Canis lupus familiaris: one gene and its partner. The protein of the gene in region 1 purifies or fractionates together with the protein of each later gene. This does not show direct contact. Links are inferred from orthologs where the notes say so. Each region holds a gene or a part of one and is shown in the gene's direction. Other genes may lie near its edges.

Region 1 (4,195 bases):
CTGTGTCTCTGCCTCTCTTTCTCTTTCTCTCATGAATTTATTTCTCTAAATAAAATCTTTAAAAAAAATACATATTGAGAAATGCACAGGTCATAAGTATACACAGCACAGTGAATTTTCACAAACTAAACACACCCATGTAACTGGCATACAGGTCAAGAAATAGGATGTGAGGGTACCTGAGTGGCTCAGTTGGTTAAGATCTGCCTCCAGCTCAGGTCATGATCCCAGGGTCCTGGGATCAAGTCCCATATTGAGCTCCCTGCTCAATGGGGAGTCTGCTCCTCCCTCTCCCTCTGCCCCTCCTTCAGCTTGTGCTTTCTCCTCATTGCTCTCTTGCTCATTCTCACACATGAATTTATTAAATCTTTAAAAAAGGAGAGAAAAAATATGAAAGGATATGAGAAGCTCCCTTGAAGTGCCCTCTTGTTTGCTTTAGGTATTCCTAGCCTCTTCTTAAGGGTTACCCCTATTTGGACTTTTTTTTAAGATTTTATTTATTTATTCATGAGAAGCTGAGAGAGGCAGAGACATAGGCAGAGGGAGAAACAGGCTTCATGGAAGGAGCCCGATGTGGGACTCGATCCCAGGACCCCGGGATCACAACCTGAGCCAAAGGCAGATGCTCAACCACTGAGCCACCCAGGTATCCCCACTAGTTGGATTTCTAACAGCATAGATAAGTTTTCCCCATCCTTGTACTCTACAGAAATGGAATCACACAGGGTATTCTCTTTTTATACTTGATTTAAAAAAAAAGATTTATTTATTTATTTTAGAGAGGACAAGAGTGAGCAAGCAAGTGGAGGGGAAGAGGGAGAGAAATCCTCAAACGAACTCCCAGCTAAGCATGGAGCCCAACTGGGTCTTGATCCTAGGATCCTGAGATCGTGACCTGAGCCGAAACCAAGAGTTGGACACTTAACTGACTGAGCCACCAGGCACTCTAAAGATTTATTTATTTTAGAGGGAGAAAGAGAGAGTAGGCAGTGGGGAGGGACATAAATATAAGGAAAGAATCTTAAACAGTCTCCATGCTGAGCACACAGCCCAACACGGGGCTCAATTTCAGGACCCTGAGATCAGGACCTGAACCAAAACCAAGGGTCTGATGCTAAACTGACTGTGCCACCCAAGTGCCCCTTCATGCCTGATTTAAAAAAACTTCTTAATATGGACACTTTAAAATTATATATATTTAGGGGTGCTTGGCTGATTCAGTCAGTGGAGCTAGGACTCTTGATCTTGGGGTTGTAAGTTTGAGTCTCATGTTGGGTGAAGAGATTACTTGAAAAAAATTAAATAGAGGCCCTTGGGTGGGTCAGTTGGTTAAGCGTCCAGCTCTTGGTTTTGGCTCAGGTCGTGATCTCAGGGTTGTGAGCACCACATCAGTCTCTATGCTCTGCATGGAATCTGCTTGTCCTTCTGCCTCCCTCCTTCCCTCTCTGCCCCTCTCCACACTTCTCTTTCTCTTGCTCACTCGCTTGCTTTCTCTCAAAATCTTATTTTAGAAAATAAATGATACTTATTTATATATTAGATGAAATACTGTGAGTCCCCAAGTACTCTAACATCTCATCAACTTGTGGCCAATCTAGTTTTATCTATATTCCCTCTGATTATTTTGAATCAGATCCCAGATATATCATTCATCTATAAATTTAGCATGTATCTCAAACATTTAATAACTATCGTTATTATAGCTTTAAAAAATTGGCCCACTTCCTGTATCTCCCCAGTGGTTTAGTCTAAATCAAATCCCAGTGTTCATCACCTGGACTCAACAGATGGTAATTGCAACACTGTTATCACACTTGACAAAATTACTGATTTCCCAGTGTCCTGTAATAATCCATATTCCCTAGTTGTAGCTGGTTTGTGTGTAAGGATTATTTGACAGGTGAAAGCCATGCCTCTCAAAGAAAAGGCAATTTTTGGTAATTCCAATAGGGCCATGTGGGCAGTGATCCTGGATGGGCCTATGGGTCATTTTCCACGGTCTGTCTTCTACCCACAGCTACTTCCATATTTGCACTAAAGGAGATCCAGCTACAAAAGGAGGCCAGCCTTCGGTCTTCGTCAATGCCTGACTCGGGTAGGTGTGGCCTCGCCCTCTTTCCCTGCCCCAGCCACCTACTTGCTTACCTACCAACAGCCATCCGCTCTGCTTTCCCCTGCAGGCAGGCCAGCTTTCCGCGTGGTGGACACCGAGTTCTAAGCTGAGTTCTAAGCCACAAACCGAGGCCCCAGCAGGCAGCAGCAGCTGGAGGGATGCCACTCCCCTCACAGGGCAGCCCCCAACTGCATCCTTCTTGCTTGCTGCCTGCCTATCTGCCTGACTCATGCTCGCCTGCCCACATGTTCCCTGCTGCCTGTCCGAACACCCGACCATTGGCCTGTCAGCCCACCCATTGGCCTGTCTGCTGGGTGCTAACAAAGCTCTCATCGCTCCTTCGCCTGGTTTGTCTGTCTGTCTGTCTGTCTCTGTCTCAGTCTCAGTAGTTGCCGGCGGACAGCATGGTTGTGCCAGCCTCCCACACTGAGGCCAGGCCTACCCCTCTTCCCCATCATATCCTCCCCCAGGACCACTGACCGCTACCCGACGGCCAGCCAGGGGTCCGGAGCTAGTCCAGGCTGGGGATCTCGGCTCAGACAGGATCTGGCAATGCCTTGGGTCTGAGGCTTCCCTTGCCTGCTTTCCTGCCTGCCCCACTTGCCTCATGTTGTGTGGGCTTTTTTTTTGTTTGTTTGTTTCACTCATTGTCGTTTTTTAATTATTTTAAATGAGGTTTTCATTTTTTAAATGCAATATCTCTGTATACAGACTGGCTGGGCCCCACCCCCTGCGTGTGGCCCTCCCACAGTATTTTGTGCAATGAAGCCCCGCTCTCAGCCTTTCCAAGGCAGGGACACAGCCCCTATTTGGAACCCTGACCATCACTAGACCCTGGGGTTGGCTAAGGGAAAGCATGCCTCGACCATTCGCCTTCCTACCCCACCCCACCCCCACCTGCCATCCCCAGCAGCAGGGGGACCTGGGGACTACGGGAGACTCTCTGGGAGGTGGATGAGGTGGGGGGGGCCCCCACTCTTTCCTTCCTGCAGTCCCACAGCTGGGGCCTCCTTCCTTCTCAGGGTCTCCTTAGCCCAACCCTCCTGCCCCTGTCCCACTCGGTGCTGTTGAGTAGGGGCCCTGCCAGGAACTGACCAACTCTTCAAGGAGCCATAGTGTGTATATGTGCACAAGCAGGGGCAGAGGGGTGCATGGGGGTCTGTGCCCAGGCATTATCCCCTAACCCCTGGGGAGGGTGAGGCAGGGCAGGGACAGTCTCTGGGGTCAGTCCCAGATGGGTGATTACCTCCCCGTCCTCCACTCTAAACCTGGGGCCCTCAAATGGGGTGGGAGGGCTGGGGTGGGGGCCCTCCTAGTGGGGTTTGGGGGGTTGGGTTCCTGAATGCACCATAATCGCTGTATGAAATATTAAAAAGTCTAAAGTGAAAAACCTGATTGCAAGTCCCTGCAGGGGTGGGGGTGGGCTCAGTCCAAGGTGAGTTCTAGGACCTTGGAGAATTCATACCTGGCCCCCGACATCTAGGAGAGCACTGAGATGGGCCAGGGACATGGCATGACTGAAAGCCATCTGAGGGGTTGCACACACAATAGTGGAACATTTTTGTTGAAGCAGGTAGGGCAGGCTGAAAAGAGGATGAGCTAAGAATCCAGGAGAAGAGTGAGATTTACCCAAGAATATGAGAATGCCAGATAGTGTGGGGACAGGTGTATGTAGAGGGACTGTGAGAGACACTTGGAAGACTCCGTTAAACCAAGAGGTGAGGCAGGGAGGACCAGTATGACCACACATCAGAACTGGACACCATGAGGCAGGCCAGGTGGAGAGAGAGTATGAGAGGAAGGATAGATTTTTGGACCACTGAGTAGGTAGGGGAATCATAATGGATCAAATTCAGGAATGGAGCCACTGATGGATGGAACTGGAAGTTTGGATTATTGGTGTCCAGGGAGTAACAGAAATCCTGAGAAGGATGCAGCGGCTTGTGAGAGGCCAAATAGCACAGCCTAGAACTTGGACTCAAGTGTGAGGATAATGGGGGCTTTGATTACCTTTGTCCTGGGAGTTCTGGCCTCTGTCCCAACATCTGGGCAAAGCCAAGGACAGCTTTTCAAACAGAAGAG
Region 2 (5,925 bases), on another chromosome or scaffold:
TCAAGTATCCCCAGATATAAATGAAGAGGGTTGCACCGTATTTTTTGTGTTCACAGCCATTTTTTCCCCTGAGTCTCTCCTGACTTGCTCACTGACTATTTGGAAAGAATGGGAAGATTATTTCTGCACCCTGAGGAGGTCTTTGTGGGGTGCTGGGAGGGCATGGAGCCCGCCAACCGTGGGCCAGGCACGTCCCATCGCGTCCCTTGATCTCCGCTCACACGCTCAGGCTACGCTGGTCTCCGCAAGACGCACTCAGCAGCCCTGGAAAGTGCAGGACAGCGCCCGTTAGCGGTCCCGGTCCGCACGTTAACTTCCCACTGCGGCTACTTCGACAGGAGTGTGGCCCGGGAACCCCCAAGATCTACCCCACCCTCTAAAACAAGGTCAGAACTCAAAGTAGACGCGAGAAATCCCAAATCAGGGTCCCGTTTCCTTTTAAATGCTTAAAACAAAACAGGCCAAACAAGACAACCCCTTTCCCGCCGGTGTGCGAGACAGCCTTCGCGGCCCCAGCCCCTCCCTACCGCGGCCCGCCGCCCGCCGCCCGCCGCCCGGCTCCGTCCCCCGCCCCACCCCCTCGCGGCGCTCCGGCGCACCCCTCCCCTCCCCTCCCCCACTGCGCCCCCAGCCCCTCCTCCGGCTCCGTCCTCGCCCCGCCCCCCCGCGGCACCCCGGCGCACCCCTTCCCCTCCCCTCCCCCACTGCGCCCCCAGCTCCTCCTCCGGCTCCGTCCCTCGCCCCGCCCCCCCGCGGCGCCCCGGCGCACCCCTCCCCTCCCCCACTGCGCCCCCAGCCCCTCCTCCGGCTCCGTCCTCGCCCCGCCCCCCCCCGCGGCACCCCGGCGCACCCCTCCCCTCCCCTCCCCCACTGCGCCCCCAGCCCCTCCTCCGGCTCCGTCCCCGCCCCGCCCCCCCCGCGGCACCCCGGCGCACCCCTCCCCTCCCCCACTGCGCCCCCAGCCCCTCCTCCGGCTCCGTCCCCGCCCCGCCCCCCCGCGGCACCCCGGCGCACCCCTCCCCTCCCCTCCCCCACTGCGCCCCCAGCCCCTCCTCCGGCTCCGTCCCCCCTATCCGCGGCCCCCGGGGACCCGGCCGGGCCCAGGGCGGCGCAGGCCCGCCGCGCACTTCGGGTCCCCGGGGAGGGCTCGGGGGAGGTGGAAGACGCCGAGAGCGGAGCTCCCACCGGCTGGGTCTGCGGCCCCCGCGCCCGCCTGCCCGAGGGCGGCCCCGACCCCTGCTCCGTACTCGGCGCGCCGCCTCCCTCGGCCGCCCATCCGCTTCCAGGGCAGAGGGAAGAGGCGGCGACCGGGCGGGGCGGGCGCCGTAGGGGGCGGGGGCGGGGGCGGGCATCCTCGCTCGCCGCGCGGGGCTCCCCGGCTCCCGGCTCCCGGCTCCCCGCGCCCCGCGCCCCGCGCCCCGCCCGAGGGCCGCACCGACGCCCGCCCGCCGGCCCTTCCGCCCTCACGAACTCGCGTCTCCCTCGCTTGAACCGGAAGCTGTTCGTGGGCCGCCGCCGCCGCCGCCGGAGACCCGGGCGCCGACCGGGAAGCGCGGGGGGTGAGGCGGCCTGCGCGGCGCCGCCCGCCATGGCCGCGGCGGGGTGAGCCGGGCTCGGCGGCCGCAGTCGCGCGGACCCGAGCGCTCCTCCGCCGCGGACAGGCCCGCGGGACTTGGGCGGGCGCGCAGCGAGGCAGGGGGGAGCCGGGAGCCGCCCGCTCGTCGCCGCCGCCGCCGCCGCCGCCGCCCATGGCGAGGACCCGCCGCCGCCGCCGCCGCTGCTGACCCGGGGGCCGGCCGCCGCTTCCGCCCCCTCCCGCGGCGGCGGGCGGGCCTCCCCTCCTCGCGCCCGCCGCCCGCCGCCCGCCGCCCGCGCCCCGCGCCCCGCGCCCCGCGCCCCGCGCCGGGGGACCGGGAGGAAGGCGAGAGCCGCAGGAGCCGGGGCCGCCGAAGATGGGGAACACTACCTCGTGCTGCGTGTCGTCCAGCCCCAAGCTCCGCAGGAATGCCCACTCCCGGCTGGAGTCCTACCGGCCCGACGCGGACCTGAGCCGCGAGGACACGGGCTGCAACCTGCAGCACATCAGCGACCGGGAGAACATCGACGGTGAGCCTCGCCAGCGCCGCGCCTCTGCCTGCGCCCCGGAGTCCGCAGGGCAGGACCGGGTCTTCGCCCCCGGGCCCCCCGGCCCCCCGGCCCCCCCGGCCCCCGAGACCCCGAGGCCCCGAGGCCCGAGGCCCCGAGCGGGCGGCTCGGGAGTAGCGCGGGGCGGGGGCGCAGGTGGAGAGGCGGCGCGAGCTGGCCGCGCTCCAGCCGAGAGCGGCGGTGCTGGGCTGGGGGCGGCCCGAGAGCCTGCGGGCCCCGCACGCCGAGTTCTTCTCGTTCGTCCTTTGGGAGGCGGAAGGACTGGATGATGTTTGGCGGAAATGAGTGAATCCCTTTTCGGAATCAGTCTCTACCTAGAGTGGGGAGAACAGGGTTGGCGTGTATCGGCTTCCCCCGGAAACTTACAGATTGACCCCATTGGGCAGCTCCTTATTTCCGTTAAAAACTTAATTTTTTTTTTTTTTTTTTTTTTGTGGCGGGGAGGTATGTGCAGGATTGGAGTGAAATAGAGTCACCTGAATACTTAAAACACACACACAGCAAACTCAATTATTATCAGAATGGTTTGGAGACAGCTTTGGGTTGTCACCCGGTTTTTGCTTGGCGCAGAATGACTGTCCTATGGATTTCTGATTGAGCTGAGTGATGTTCGGACTAGTGTTTGTAAGGGAAGATAAGGGGCTGATCACTGCACCTGGTAATGTGTATTTATATTATTGGTTCCACAGTATCTTCCTTAGTACTAATTTATCCTTAAGCTACCTGGCTTATCATGGATAGGTAGTTTATGCATCATGCTTGAATTTACATAATTTTCAACTTAAAATGTGAACTTGGAAGTATATTCTCATGCAACGTGATTTTCTTGTTTTAACCCCCAAATCTTCATACAGTTGGTGTAGTTCAACTAAGATGAAAAATTTCTTGTGTGAATGAATTGACACAACTCTATTACAAGTCAGCTTTAGGATGGAGAATTCCCTCTAGTCTGGAAAACCAAATTTAAACTCTGCTAAAGGAAAGAATTTTCTCATTGTTTGGCCTCTTAATTTTTTCTAAAGAGTTATGTCATCTCTGCAGGACAGCAACTTTATTAAAGGAGTACTGTATCTTAAAGGCACTAATGTAACATCTGGTTTATAGTAGGCACTTAGTAATTAGGGTTCCGTGTGATATTTCTGGTGTAGTTATAATAGATTTCCATTATCTTAACCTACTCTTTAGATGTCTTTGAACTACAGTTATACTTTAATGCATTTAAAGTCGTCTAGAAGGGTATTAAAGTCTGGACTGTCTTGATTATTGGTATGGTCCAAGCAGTTGAAAGAAATGTGTGGTATATAGTAAAGGTTTTAATAAGTATTATATTTTAAAGGAATGAATGAATACAGGAGTTTATTATAGAAAGCCATTACCGAGTCTTATACAACGCTGACAGGCAAAAACATTTGGAAATAATTTCTCCATGCTGTGCACTAATATTGGGAGGAAGCTTTATGTTTTAAATACAAATTTAAAAAATACAAAAGGAAGATGTACATTTCTTAGAGCCAAGCTGCATGCTATTACTGACTATAGTAAGGAAATGAGAGGAAAAAAAGTAATTATAACCAGGTATTTGGCACTACGTCTTAAAGGATTTTTTTTTTTAATTTTTATTTATTTATGATAGTCACACACAGAGAGAGAGAGAGAGGCAGAGACATAGGCAGAGGGAGAAGCAGGCTCCATGCACCGGGAGCCCGATGTGGGATTCGATCCCGGGTCTCCAGGATCGCACCCTGGGCCAAAGGCAGGCGCCAAACCGCTGCGCCACCCAGGGATCCCCTGGCACTACGTCTTAGAAGGATTTTGCTAGACAAAAAGAGAATAGTATTGTGTGTTCTTTCATTTGAAAGAAATCTAAGATTTGGTCTCAAGTAGTTTTGAGAAAACTTCAGAGGACCACCAAATCTGGTTTTGGAATTTCAGGATAGTTTAAGACACTCTCGCACATGTTAAAAAGATTTCTAATCTAGGCTTGTACTGTCCTCTTGCTCCAGAACTTAGTTCATATGATGATGTTAGTTTATTTATTTATTTTTAAAAAAAGATTTTATTTGTTTATTCATGAGAATACACAGAGAGGAGAGAGAGAGAGAGAGAGAGAGAGAGAGAGAGAGGCAGAGACACAGGCAGAGGGAGAAGCAGGCTCCATGCAGGGAGCTCGACTCAGAACTCGATCCCGGGTCTCCAGGATCACGCCCTGGGCTGAAGGCGCCGCTAAACTGCTGAGCCACCCGGGCTGCCCTGATGATGTTAGTTTAAACCGAAATACTAATTCACATTTATTTATTTATCTACTCATTCATTCATGGGAGACAGAGAGAGGCAGAGACATAGGCAGAGGGAGAAGCAGGCTCCCTGCATGGAACCCAATGTGGGACTCCATCCCAGGACCCTGCCATCATGCCCGAGCCAAAGGCAGACGCTCAACCATTGAGCCACACAGGCATCCCCTAATCTACTATTTAAACGATATTTTCTCTGCCAAATTCAATAAATAATACTTATAGGATTTACCTATATATGTTTCTCAACATTGGTTTCAATTACACCAGAAATCTAGGACTGGGCCTTGGTGTTAGTATGTTTAAAGCTCTCCAGGTAATTCGAAGATATAGGTAGGATTGAGAATCCCTGGCTGGATAAGTCTGTTGTTCAGGGACATTTTCCATAGAAATTCATTCAGTATCAAGCTGGGAGAAGAGAACAGATTTAAGTTAAATAGCATATAGAAATAGCATATAGGTATAGATTTTAACTTCTGAATTATATTGATAGATGATTAGTAAACATTTAAAAACTACTACTGAAGCATTCTTTATTCTAGTATATAACACCTGAAGTGCTCAAGTACCATCTTTATTCCTAAAGACATCTCAGACAGATAGAATTGAAGATTCAGAGGAGTTCATGGGGCTTCTGTGATAGGTCAGTTTCTTAAAATCACAGAGGCATAAGGTTTGAATTTATGTTTTCCCTGCTCAAAACACAATGGGTAATATTTGTCCTATAGTGTTTCAGTGACTGAGTCAGGGCAGTTAGGGCAGTTAGGTTTCTATGACACCTACCAGCAACTTGTCCTGTCTTTGTACTCAAAGTACAAAGTACTTTGTGGTGTTAGGTAATTCATGTTTTTGGAAATGTATATGGGACTCATCAACTAACTCCCTAGGTATTTCTTATAAAATTATTCTGGGATTGAGAAATAACAAAAAGACTTAACGACAGTGGTAGTAATGCTTGCAGCCCTTAGATATTGTTTACTTTGTGCCAGATGCTGCTCTGCTTGTTAGTATTCACAATAACCCTAGGATAATATTGTCCTTTCTTTAAGACAAAAAGTGAGGCAGAGAGAGGAGAAATGACTTGCCCAAAGTCATATGGTCAGTAATTGACACATAGAAACTTCCCATTGTTGCTTGATTAGCTATCAAACATTAATTAGTCCTGGGGTTGCTTTCTAGGGTAAAGTGTGTGTCCTTGCAGTCTTAGCCACAGTTTCTCTGAAAAGAAACATCTATCTTCAATAGACTGGTCTTCCCCGATTAGATTATTTCTAGGGGATCCCTGGGTGGCGCAGCGGTTTGGCGCCTGCCTTTGGCCCAGGGCGCGATCCTGGAGACCCGGGATCGAGTCCCACATCGGGCTCCCGGTGCATGGAGCCTGCTCCTCCCTCTGCCTGTGTCTCTGCCTCTCTCTCTCTCTCTCTGTGTGACTATCATAAATAAATAAAAAAAAAAAAAAAAAAAAAAAAAAGATTATTTCTGTAGGAGG

What was found. Proteins that work in one complex are often made in the same cells at the same time.
Region 2: the proteins of CDK16 (region 1) and CCNY purify together in Homo sapiens (affinity purification with mass spectrometry; 3 studies listed by BioGRID and IntAct, counting the BioPlex papers as one, with this or other methods). This does not show direct contact. The link is inferred for Canis lupus familiaris from reciprocal best matches to the Homo sapiens genes CDK16 and CCNY.

The regions. Positions count from the first base shown.
Region 1 is NC_049260.1:41,022,346-41,026,540, forward strand, and holds the end of CDK16 (cyclin-dependent kinase 16), read left to right. Parts: intron 1-2,017; coding exon 2,018-2,095; intron 2,096-2,180; coding exon 2,181-2,218; 3' UTR 2,219-2,456; downstream 2,457-4,195. UniProt on the Homo sapiens protein: Protein kinase that plays a role in vesicle-mediated transport processes and exocytosis. Regulates GH1 release by brain neurons. Phosphorylates NSF, and thereby regulates NSF oligomerization. Required for normal spermatogenesis.
Region 2 is NC_049223.1:1,837,599-1,843,523, reverse strand, and holds the start of CCNY (cyclin-Y), read left to right. Parts: upstream 1-1,898; 5' UTR 1,899-1,952; coding exon 1,953-2,106; intron 2,107-5,925. UniProt on the Homo sapiens protein: Positive regulatory subunit of the cyclin-dependent kinases CDK14/PFTK1 and CDK16.